Linked DNA regions of Oryctolagus cuniculus. The protein of the gene in region 2 purifies or fractionates together with the protein of the main gene of each other region. This does not show direct contact. Links are inferred from orthologs where the notes say so. Each region holds a gene or a part of one and is shown on either strand. Other genes may lie near its edges.

The links.
Region 1: the proteins of CIAO1 (region 2) and CIAO3 purify together in Homo sapiens (affinity purification with western blotting; 3 studies listed by BioGRID and IntAct, with this or other methods). This does not show direct contact. The link is inferred for Oryctolagus cuniculus from reciprocal best matches to the Homo sapiens genes CIAO1 and CIAO3.
Region 3: the proteins of CIAO1 (region 2) and POLE purify together in Homo sapiens (affinity purification with western blotting; 3 studies listed by BioGRID, with this or other methods). This does not show direct contact. The link is inferred for Oryctolagus cuniculus from reciprocal best matches to the Homo sapiens genes CIAO1 and POLE.

Annotation. Positions count from the first base shown.
Region 1 is NC_091450.1:33,991,145-33,995,586, forward strand, and holds the start of CIAO3 (cytosolic iron-sulfur assembly component 3), read left to right. Parts: upstream 1-1,553; 5' UTR 1,554-1,618; coding exon 1,619-1,684; exon of another isoform or gene 1,685-1,883; coding exon 1,884-1,979; intron 1,980-2,248; coding exon 2,249-2,392; intron 2,393-2,467; coding exon 2,468-2,600; intron 2,601-3,347; coding exon 3,348-3,467; intron 3,468-3,671; coding exon 3,672-3,790; intron 3,791-4,042; coding exon 4,043-4,172; intron 4,173-4,442.
Region 2 is NC_091433.1:111,312,537-111,314,697, reverse strand, and holds the end of CIAO1 (probable cytosolic iron-sulfur protein assembly protein CIAO1), read left to right. Parts: intron 1-39; coding exon 40-127; intron 128-934; coding exon 935-1,175; 3' UTR 1,176-1,566; downstream 1,567-2,161. UniProt on the Homo sapiens protein: Key component of the cytosolic iron-sulfur protein assembly (CIA) complex, a multiprotein complex that mediates the incorporation of iron-sulfur cluster into extramitochondrial Fe/S proteins.
Region 3 is NC_091452.1:874,100-878,490, reverse strand, and holds the start of POLE (DNA polymerase epsilon catalytic subunit A), read right to left. Parts: upstream 2,904-4,391; 5' UTR 2,807-2,903; coding exon 2,745-2,806; intron 1-2,744. Other genes in the region: PXMP2 (peroxisomal membrane protein 2), read left to right, coding at 3,109-3,227, 4,227-4,340. UniProt on the Homo sapiens protein: Catalytic component of the DNA polymerase epsilon complex. Participates in chromosomal DNA replication.

The DNA.
Region 1 (4,442 bases), on a different chromosome or scaffold from region 2:
TGGGGTGGAGCTGGGGCTCCTGGCGTGGGCCTGGCCCCATCCGGCCACCGTAAGGGTCTGGGGTGGACCAGCGATGGGACTTCTCCCTCCCTCTCTTAAATAAATAAATATTGAAGGCCGGCACCGCGGCTCACTAGGCTAATCCTCCGCCTTGCGGCGCCGGCACACCAGGTTCTAGTCCCGGTCGGGGCGCCGGATTCTGTCCCGGTTGCCCCTCTTCCAGGCCAGCTCTCTGCTGTGGCCAGGGAGTGCAGTGGAGGATGGCCCAAGTGCTTGGGCCCTGCACCCCATGGGAGACCAGGAGAAGCACCTGGCTCCTGCCATCGGATCAGCGCGGTGCGCCGGCAGCAGCGCGCCGGCCGCGGCGGCCATTGGAGGGTGAACCAACGGCAAAGGAAGACCTTTCTCTCTGTCTCTCTCTCTGTCCACTCTGCCTGTCAAAAAATAAAAAAATAAATAAATTAATTAATTAAAAATAAATATTGAAAATAAATTTGCATATCAGAACTGTGAAATGGTGGTGAGGGACCTGTAACACCTGTGCCGTGCGGCCCCCAGCCCCTTCCTGTCCCCCACGGACGGGCGTGGCCCCTGGCGTGGCACGGGGCGTCCAGGCTCCCCGTGCCCTCTCCTGGCCTCTGCGGCCTGTGACCCACTTGCATTTGGGGAAGAACGAGGAAAACCACTGGGTATCAGCCCTGGGGTAACGCTGCCCCCCCACAGCCAGAGGACTGCACGGCCCAGTGGTCAGCCCGACAGAACCAGGGCCTGGAGCCGCAGGACAAGAGGGGCAAGGGGTGTGCCCTCCACCCTGGACGTTTCTGGAATGTCCAGTGAAGCCACGGGGGACACCTGCACCCCGGGAGTGACAGACGGACAGAGGGCTTCCATTCCCGGGCTCACTCCCCAGATGGCCGCAGCGGTGGGGGCCGGGCCAGTGCGAAGCCAGGAGCCCGAGCTCCGCCGGGGCTCCCGCCAGGGGCCAGGGTGCTGGGGCCCAGGCGCTTGCCTGGCGCTGCTTCGGCAGGTGCCTGAGCCGGGAGCCGCTGGGACTCAGCCCACGCGCGTCCGGGAGCCCGGGCCCAGCACAGCGCCGGCTCCCATAGCTCAGCAAAACGAAACGCAGACCCCGCACAGTGTGCATTTGGACAGGGCAGGATCCGCAAAGGCCTAAGTGGAGTCTGACCAGGCCAGCACTCCCCGCAGCTTATAAAATTCCAGGGAGCGGAGCGGCCCGAGCCCCCAAGGGGTCGCCCCATCCTAATTTCCTCACCGCCTGAATTTATATTTCAGTAGAAACTGAGCGCCCACCGCGGGCCGGCCGCGGGACGCTCTCGGGTGCCCCGGGGAGCTCCGGGCCGGGCAACCCTGGGCCCCACGCCTGGCAGGCAGGCGAGCACCGCACAGGGGGGACCACCCAAGCGGCGCGCGGACCCCAGCACCTGCACCGCCCCCTCCGCCGCCCGGCGCAGGCGCGGGAGGTGTGCTGTGCTCAGCTCGCCGGCAGAGGGCGCGCGTGCGCCGCGGGGCTGCTTTCCGGCAGCGTGGCGGAAACACCCTAGCTGTGCGGCGCCCTTTGACGACCGTTCGCGCGTCGCCTGGCGGCAGTGTGGCTATCATGGCGTCGCCCTTTAGCGGGGTCCTGCAACTCACGGATCTAGATGACTTCATCGGGCCGTCTCAGGTGGGCCCGGCGGGTGGGCGGCTGCGGCGCGGGCGGCGGGCGGCGGGCGGCGGGCGGCGGGCGGCGGGCGGGGCCGGCCCCTGAGAAACGAAGTCCGCGCGCCCCCGCCAGGGCCGGCTCCCTACGCGGTGGCCGAGGGCGGGGGGCCCGGCTTCCCCGCGCGCTCACGGCCGCGGCGTGGGGGCTCCTCCCGCTGCAGGACTGCGTCAAGCCCGTGAAGGTGGACGCGAGGCCGGGGCGCGGCGGGGCCAAGATCCAGGTCGGGGACGACGGCAGCTACTTCCAGGTCCAACAGGTGAGGTGGGCCCGGCGCCGGGGGTGCGCAGGGGGACCCTGGGCGGCGGCCACTCCTGCGCGGAGGCCTCTGCGCCCGCGGTCCCAGCCTGGCTCCCCTGGCCTGGCGCGGGCAGGCGGCGCACGGCGGGAGCTCACAGCGAGGGGAGGTCCCGCTGTCCCGCCCGGCCACTCGCTGCTCCGGAGCCTGGTGGCGGGGGCTGCGGGAGCAGCGCGGGGCCCGGCCGGGCTGGTCCCGGCGGCGTGCGAGCCCGGCGTGCTGCCCCGCAGGGCGGCGGCGCGCGGAGGCTGGAGCGAGCCAGGGTCTCGCTGGACGACTGCCTGGCCTGCAGCGGCTGCGTCACGTCGGCGGAGACCGTGCTCATCGCGCAGCAGAGCCACGAGGAGCTGCGGAAGGTTCTGGACGCCAACCAGGTAGCGGGTCCGGCGGGCGCCTCGGGGGGCCCCGGGCGGCGCGGCCCGGGTGACGCGCGCCCCCCGGCCTTGCAGGCGGCGGCGCCCGCGAGGCGCAGGCTGGTGGTGGTGTCGCTGTCGCCGCAGTCCACAGCGTCGCTGGCCGCCCGGCTCCAGCTGCCCGCCGCCGACACGGCCAAGAGGCTCGCCTCGTTCTTCCGGAGCATAGGTAGGTGGGCGCCGGGGGGGGGGCGTCCACGCGCGGATCCCGAGTGACCGCAGCTCCGAGCGAGCCTGGAGGACGCGCCGTGCCCGGCGTGCTTTCCTGCTTTGTGAGGTTTGTTACTTATTTAAAAGGCGGCGTTCCAGAGAGGGGGACACAGACAGGTCTTCCGCCCGCGGGTTCGCTGAGTTCAACTCGGGGTGGAGGGGCCGGGCGGCCGCCACGGCGGGAGGCCGGGACCCAGGCGCACGGCAGGCGCTGGCGATGCGCCTCGTGGCTGTGGAAGCGGCCCACGGTTCTAGGAGGCGGGTCCCGCCCAGGGGGCGTGGTTGGCCTGGGAGGCGGGGTCCCGCTCTGGGGTCTGGGCCCGTGGCTGGCCCTGGCCCAGGTGCCATGAGCAAGTGCAGCTCGGCTCTGGGAGGCGGGGTCCCGCTCTGGGGGCGTGGCTGGCCCTGGGGGCGGGGGTCCCGCTCTGGGGGCGTGGCCGGCCCTGGGGGCGGGTCCCGCTCTAGGGGCGTGGCTGGCCCTGGGGGCGGGTCCCGCTCTGGGGGCGTGGCTGGCCCTGGGGGCGGGGTCCTTATGGGGGGCATGGCTGGCCCTGTGGCCGGGTCCCGCTCTGGGGGCGTGGTCGCGCTCTGGGGGCGTGGCTGGCCCTGGGGGCGTGGCCGGCCCTGGGGGCGGGTCCCGCTCTGGGGGCGTGGCTGGCCCTGGGGGCGTACCCCCCCAGGTGCAGCTCACGGGGTCGCCCTGCAGGCGTGCACTACGTCTTCGACGCGGCCTTCTCCAGGAGCTTTAGCCTCCTGGAGAGCCAGCGCGAGTTTGTGGAGCGGTTCCGACGCCAGGCGCTGCCCGTGCTCACTTCCGCCTGCCCAGGTGCGTGCGTGGGGGGTCATCTGTGGTCACTTCTGTTGCCCTGAAGTCATCACGTGGATTCCGAGAGCCCCCGGGGGTGAGGGCAGGGCGGGGCTGAGCCCGGGGGTGAGGGCAGGGGGGTGGTCACTGAGCCCCCAGGGGAGAGGCAGGGCGGGCGACCCCCGGCCGCCCCTGGGAGCTGTGGCTGCGTGTCCCGCTGCCCAGGCTGGATCTGCTACGCCGAGAAGACGCACGGCAGCTTCCTGCTCCCCTACATCAGCACCGCCCGCTCGCCGCAGCAGGTCATGGGCTCCCTGGTCAAGGACTTCTTCGCCCAGCAGCAGGTACTGCGTCCACCGGCCCAGGCCGCGCAGGGAGCGGCTCAGGCTCGGTGAGGGGCGGGGGCCTGGCTCTGTGCGGCCGCCGAGGGCCTCTCTCTCGACGTGGCCAGAGGTCCCGCCCGGCTCGGGGAGGCGGTGTGGTCACCTGCCCGCCCCGGCGCCGGCCCCGCTCAGAGAATTCTCGGGGACCCTGCCCTGCGGGAGACACCGCCCACAGCGTGGGGGCGGGTGTGACCGCGTGTCCGCGTCCCACAGCACGTGACCCCCGACAAGATCTACCACGTCGCCGTGATGCCCTGCTACGACAAGAAGCTGGAGGCGTCCAGGCCCGACTTCTTCAACCAGGAGCACCAGACCCGCGAGGTGGACTGCGTGCTCACCACCGGTGCGCGCCCGGCCCCGCCCCTCCCCGGCCCCGCCCACCTGTGCAGCGCGGGTTGGGGGGATGGACTGTGTGCTCGCCACAGGTGCCCGCCCCCACGTCTCCCCGGACTCCGCCCCGCCCCTCCGCCCAGAGGCGCGCGGGTCCTGCCTCTCGGAGACCCCTGTTTGCCTGAAGCAGTCTTATCTCTAAGGTGTGCCGCTCATTTTTATTTATTTGCAAGGCAGAGAGCTCCCATCCCCTGGTCCACTCCCCCAGTGCCACCGCAGCCAG
Region 2 (2,161 bases):
CCGCCGAGGCCTCGGGCTCAGAACCGGTCTGTCTTGCAGGGCTGGTGTGCAGCGGCTCTGCCCCCAGCTGGAAGTGTGTCTGCACTTTGTCTGGCTTCCACTCCAGGGCCATTTACGACATTGCCTGGTAAGACCTCCATCCCCACCCCACTCCTGGTAAAGCAGGGATTTGAGAGACATCGTGACCCTCTGTCCTGCTACCAGCGGGGCACAAGAGAAGAGCCGCCCTGTTTCTGTAGATGAGGCCCCCTGTCCACCATGCTAGAGCCGGCCGGCCTGCGAGTCCCAGGGGCAGGACTCAGCCTTAGACCCAGGAGCCCTGGTTAGGAGCGCAGGCTCTGAGGGCAGCACCAGCCCCGGGATTCACGCAGTGCCAGTCCGTCCAGAGAGCAGGACTGAATCTGTGGATCGGTGGTTGGGGTTGTTACGGTTTGGAAACACAGAGGGAGAGTTAGGCAGAAGACAGTTCTGGCCCTGAGAGGGAGGCCTAAGAATTAATGCTAAACAAAGGAAAAAGTTCATAGGCGTCCAAGCATAATTAGTATTAGCAAACAGTTTGGAGTAACGCATACGAGTATGTTGCAAAAAAAGTGGACTTAAGCAAATAATGGTAAAACTCAGTAGCCTGTTCTATCAGTTAAAAAAGACTTCAAAGCATGGGAAACCACTTATGCTCAATGAGAAGTGTGCTCTTCAGAGCTGCTTGGGGTTTTTAGGTTAGTTATAACTGGAAGGCGTATGGAGGCATCTGCAGACCGAGGGAGGTGCTGCTCGTGGCTCTGTCTTTGGGACACTCCCCGGTAAGACTGAGCTGAGGCCTGCAGCTGGGAAGAGAACAGGCAGGGACTGTAGAACAGATCTCTCTCTCGCCCAGTTTGCCAGACTGGGGAGGGAAGAGCAGTCTGCACACCTCCTGATGGCACATTTCTCCCAGGTGTCAGCTGACCGGGGCCCTGGCTACAGCTTGTGGGGACGATGCCATCCGAGTGTTTGAGGAGGATCCCAGCTCGGACCCGCAGCAGCCCACCTTCTCCCTGACGGCCCATTTGCGCCAGGCCCATTCCCAGGATGTCAACTGCGTGGCCTGGAACCCCAAGGAGCGGGGGCTCCTGGCTTCCTGCAGTGATGATGGGGAGGTGGCCTTCTGGAAGTACCAGCAGCCTGAAGGCCTCTGAGCTGCCTTGACTTCGGCATCACAGTTCCTGAGAAAGTGTGCTGAGACTTTGCCAGTCCCAGGAGGGCCTGGAGGAGCATCCTTGACCTTGATTCAACTTGGCTGGCTTCTCTGCAGACTCAAAAAGAGGCATGGAGCCACAGGGTGGCTGGCTTTTCCCCTCCTTTGACACGAGGCCCTCAGTAAAGAGCTACAGAATGCCAGTCCATTTTTGTTAACTCAGAGTTTGCTTGCTTTGGGACAGTGTTAAATTTGGGTGGGTGGGGAGTGTACTGTTTGTGTGTGTGTGTGTATACAAGGGTATGTCAGAAAGTTCCCAGAGATTGTATATTGTGAAAAGATCATGGGTTTCAAAAAAATTTTTGCACCAAAATAAACATCTTTTAATTCCATTTTCCATGAACTTTTTGAAGTTCCCTCATATATATGTAGAAGGGAGAGTGTGTCTCAGACCTTTCCAAAACTGTAAACTTTACAAAAATAATACATTTGAGTCCAAAGTCTTATTTTATAAGAACAGTCACAATTTAAAAAATTCCGTGGTAGTGGCTGGCACTGTGGCAGAGCAGGTAAAGCCACCACTTGCAGTGCTGACATCCCATATGGGCGCCGGTTCGAGACCCGGCTGCTCTGCTTCCGATCCAGCTCTCGGCTATGGCCTGGGAAAGCAGTGGAAGATGGTCCAAGTCCTTGGGCCCCTGCACCCGTGGGGAAGACCTACAAGAAGCTCCTGACGCCAGCACCGTGACTCACTAGGCTAATCCTCCACCTGTGGTGCTGGCACACCGGGTTCTAGTCCTGGTCGGTGCACTGGATTCTGTCCTGGTTGCTCTTCTTCCAGTCCAGCTCTCCGCTGTGGCCCGGGAAGGTAGTGGAGGATGGCCCAAGTGCTTGGGAGACCAGGAGGAAGCACCTGGCTCCTGGCTTTGAATCGGTGCAGCACGCCGGCCTTAGCGGCCATTTGGGGGTGAACCAGTGGAAGGAAGA
Region 3 (4,391 bases), on a different chromosome or scaffold from region 2:
AGGAGCCAGGTGCTTCTCCTGGTCTCCCATGGGGTGCAGGACCCAAGGACCTGGGCCATCCTCCACTGCACTCCCTGGCCACAGCAGAGAGCTGGCCTGGAAGAGGGGCAACCGGGACAGAATCCAGCACCCCGACCGGGACTAGAACCAAGTGTGCCGGCGCTGCAGGCGGAGGATTAGCCTATTGAGCCGCGGTGCCGGCCCAAGGGTATCACAATTCTTAAAATTACACAACTATCCCTTCTCTGATGGTATTTGGTTTCTCCATGAGGTGGGTGTTTTTAAAATATTGCTTTATCATCTGGCCCTGCAATTCTACTTCTAAGAATTTAAACCTATTTTCAGGAAACAATCTTTTACATACAGATGTTCATCGCAGGTTTAAGGGGAAGAGAAAAAAGGAAGTCATCTACATATCCAAAATAGGACTAAAGAAAAATTTAAAAGAGGTAAATCAAGTCCATACAGAATTCAGGTCCTAAATTACCACATTTCACCAAATCCTAATTTATATGCAGAAGTGGACAGAGAACTGTTCAGGAAAAATCCGTCCTGTGCCAGAGTCTTCCTGGGCCACCTCTATTTGAAGAACAGAATGACCATGTTCCAATATTAGGATCTTAAAGCCACTCATAGAAGGCAGAATATCATCTCTCAAGAGATCTACGTTCTAATTCCTAAAACCTGTGAATGTTCCCATAAGTGAAGAAACATAACTTGCAATTAAGATGATCTTTAGGGGCCGGCACTGTGGTGTAGTTGGTAAAGCCGCCGCCTGCAGAGCTGGCATCCCATATGGGTGCTGGTTCAAGACCTGGCTGCTCCACCCGTGTGCGAGACCTGGAGGAATATCCTGGCTCTTGGCTTTGGATTGGTACAGCTCCTGCCATTGCAGCCATTTGGGGAGTGAACCAGTGGATGGAAGACCTCTCTCTGTGTAACTCTTTCAAATAAATAAATAAATCTTTTAAAAAAATATGATCTTTAGATGGGGATTATCTGGGTGGGCCCATTGTAATCACAGGCTTCACTTCTTCTTCTCCTGGCTTCAGATCAGCGCGGTGCACAGGCCACAGCGGCCACTGGAAGGTGAACCAACGGCAAAGGAAGACCTTTCTCTCTGTCTCTCTCTCTCACTGTCCACTCTGCCTGTCAAAAAAAAAAAAAAAAAAAAAAAAACAAAAAAAAAACAGGAAAACTGTATTCCAAGCCTTGGTAGAGAACTTGGCTTCAGCTTGAGGCCTAGATCTTTCTTGAAATCAAGACAGGGAGGCCGGCGCTGCGGCTCAATAGGCTAATCCTCCACCTAGCAGTGCCGGCACACGGGGTTCTAGTCCCGGTTGCCCCTCTTCCAGGCCAGCTCTCTGCTATGGCCAGGGAGTGCAGTGGAGGATGGCCCAAGTGCTTGGGCCCTGCACCCCATGGGAGACCAGGAGAAGCACCTGGCTCCTGCCTTCGGATCAGCGCAGTGCGCCGGCCGCAGCGCGCCAGCCGTGGCGGCCATGGGGGGGGGTGAACCAATGCCAAAAGGAAGACCTTTCTCTCTGTCTCTCTCTCTCACTGTCAAAAAATAAATAAATAAAATAAAATAAAAAAAGAAATCAAGACAGGGGGCTGTCACTGTGGCATAATGGGTAAAGCCTCCGCCTGCAGTGCTGGCATCCCATATGGACGCCGGTTCGTGTCCTGGCTGCTCCACTTGGGATCCAGCTCTCTGCTATGGCCTGGGAAAGCAGAAGAAGATGGCCAAGTCCTTGGGCCCCTGCAACTGCATGGGAGACCCGGAGGAAGCTCCTGGCTCCGGATTGGTGCAGCTCTGGCCGTTGTGGCCAATTGGGGAGTGAACCAGCGGATGGAAGACCTCTCTCTGCCTCTCCTCTCTGTAATTCTTTCAAATAAATAAGTAAATCTTAAAAAAAAAAATCAAGACAGAACGAAGTACCAGTCCTGTGTACTGCAGTCCCCCACATATCCTTAAATCAGGTGCGTTGGATTAAAGGGACTATAAACACTCTCTTGGACCACACCTCCTCTCAAGACTGTTCTCTAAGCTTTGTATTTCGCTTTTTATCCAGCTACAGTGCAATATTTGAAAACGCAGTCCCAGTGCATCGCCACAGACAGCGCTCCAGGTCCCCGCAGACCGCTCGCAGGGGCTGCTCCGATCGCCCCCTCACAGCAGATCCCAGGCCCGGCTAACAGCCCTGCCCCTCGCCGCCAGCGGCTGTGTGAAGCACGAGACCTCTGGCGGAAGCCGAGGCTGTCGCCAGGGTTCTCACCACCGTGCAGCCCCGCGCCGTCCGCGAGCTGCAAGGCCCACGAGCGCGTCGGGGAGACAAGCCCCAGTTCCAGCGCCCAGCGCCGTCCGCCTCTCCGGCCGTGCCGAGGCCCCGACGCGCAGGGCACAGCAGCCCGGGTCGCCCCGGCCCCGCGGCCCCCAGCCCGACCCTCCCCGAACGCAGCCGCGGCTAGCGGAGGCGGGCACAGGGTGAAGGTCAGCGCGGAGGTCAGCGCCTGAAAGGGTCGCCCCGGCGGCGGCGGACCCGGGCCGCGCAGGAAAGCGCTCCTCGGCCCGCACCGGGGGCGGGGGGCGCCCGCAGCCCTCCACGCCGGGACCGCCGGCCCCGACCCGCGCGGACACCGCCCGGCAGCCCGTGGAAGGGGCCGGCGTCTGCCAGAGGGCTCAGGCCGGAAGACACCGGCTACCTCCAGCATGACCCCCGGAGGACCGGGTCCGCCCTCACCGACTGGCCTCGCCGTCCGCCTTGGGCTCCGCGCGCCGCCGCCCGGTGTTCGTCAGCACCATCGCTCCGGCTCAGGACCGTCTCAGTTTCCCGGGAGAAATTTGGCGCGCTCCCACCTACTCTCGCGAGATTCCGGAAGCGCCCCGCCGTCCAATCAGCAGGCGCGGGCGCCCGCGGGGCTCCAATGGGTGGTGCCGCGTGGGGGGCGGTGGAAGGGGGCGGTCCCCGAGGGCCCGGGAGAAGGTGTGCGGAGGCGCGCGCCGCGCAGCGCGGGGTCCGTCCGGGGCGGCGCTGTGGGCAGTGTCGGGCCGCCCCGCCCCGGGCTGACCCGAGGCGCGGGCGGCTGCCCGGGGCGGCGCAGAGCATGGTGGCGATGGCGCCGGCGGCGTCGAGGCTGCGGGCCGAGGCGCTCCCGCGGCGGGCACTCGCCAGCTACCTGCTCCTCCTGCGGCTGTACCCGGTGCTCACCAAAGCGGCCACCAGGTGGGCGCGTCGCCGCGCAGAGGGAGGACCAAGTCGCGGCCCGCAGCGTTGTGGGTCGGGTCCCGGGCAGACGGAGGGCTGTCGGGCTGTGTCGCTGGAGGCCGTCCCCGCCTGCCGTCGGCCGGCCCGTGCCGGCTGCGTGTGGTGCCTCCCGCAGCCGGTGTCGTGGCGAGGGACTCGACGGAGGGCCTGGCGGAGAGAGGGCGGCTGGGCGGGCTCCTCTGCGGGGGGCGACAGTGAACAGGCCGTGCGTGGAAGGGACGCAGTCGCTGTCCGCGTAGAGGGAGCTGCGGGTGCCAAGTCCGAGGGAGGAGCGAGCCGTGCGCGGAGGACCTGGGGCGGGGAGCGGGGGTCAGATCTGGAAGGCCCTGTGTGCGTTTTGTGTCTCAGAGCCTCTCGGAAGGCAACAGACCAAGGCCTGGAGGGAGCCACTGGGCCTCTCGCCGCTTCTGATGGAAATTCTTAGGGCCATAATTGTAGATTCGGGTTCAGTTGTAAGAAATTATGCAAGAGAGAGCCTTGTACCCTTTTCCCAGTTTCTCCCGTCGGTTGCATTCTGTAAAATTTAGCGCAGCGTCACAGCTCGCACGGCTAGTCCACAGGTCATATTTGGGTTTCCTCACTTCTCCTGTACCCTTGTGAAGGTGTTTACTTCCGTGCAGTTTTATCTCCCGTGGTTCTGTATCTGTCACCACAGGCAAAACAGAAGAATGTCCACATCAGGGTCCCTCCTGATCCCTTTCTGTTACCACATGCCTTTCTGACTCCTGGGATGGCAAACTTTTTAGAAAATTGGGGTATCTCGCATAACCAGAATGTTGACATACAGTCCACCAGCTGGTTGCCCTCACCTGTGTGTGTGTGAGAGAGAGAATCTTTGTCCCTGCCTTTTGATGTAGGCACTTGCCATTGCAGCGGCTTCAGTCCAGAGCGTGACCTCAGAGCACGTGTGGGAAAGGACCAGCTGTCCATGTCTCCTGATTGTGTCCTTGTCCACAGTGCTATTCTGTCAGCATTTTCGAACTTCTTGGCTCAGATGATTGAGAAGAAGCGAAAAAAAGACAACTCTCAAAATCTAGATGTCACTGGGCCTCTCAGATATGCAATTTATGGGTGAGTGCCATAAAAGAGGCAGGTTTACTCTGTAACAGACTAAGTACACCG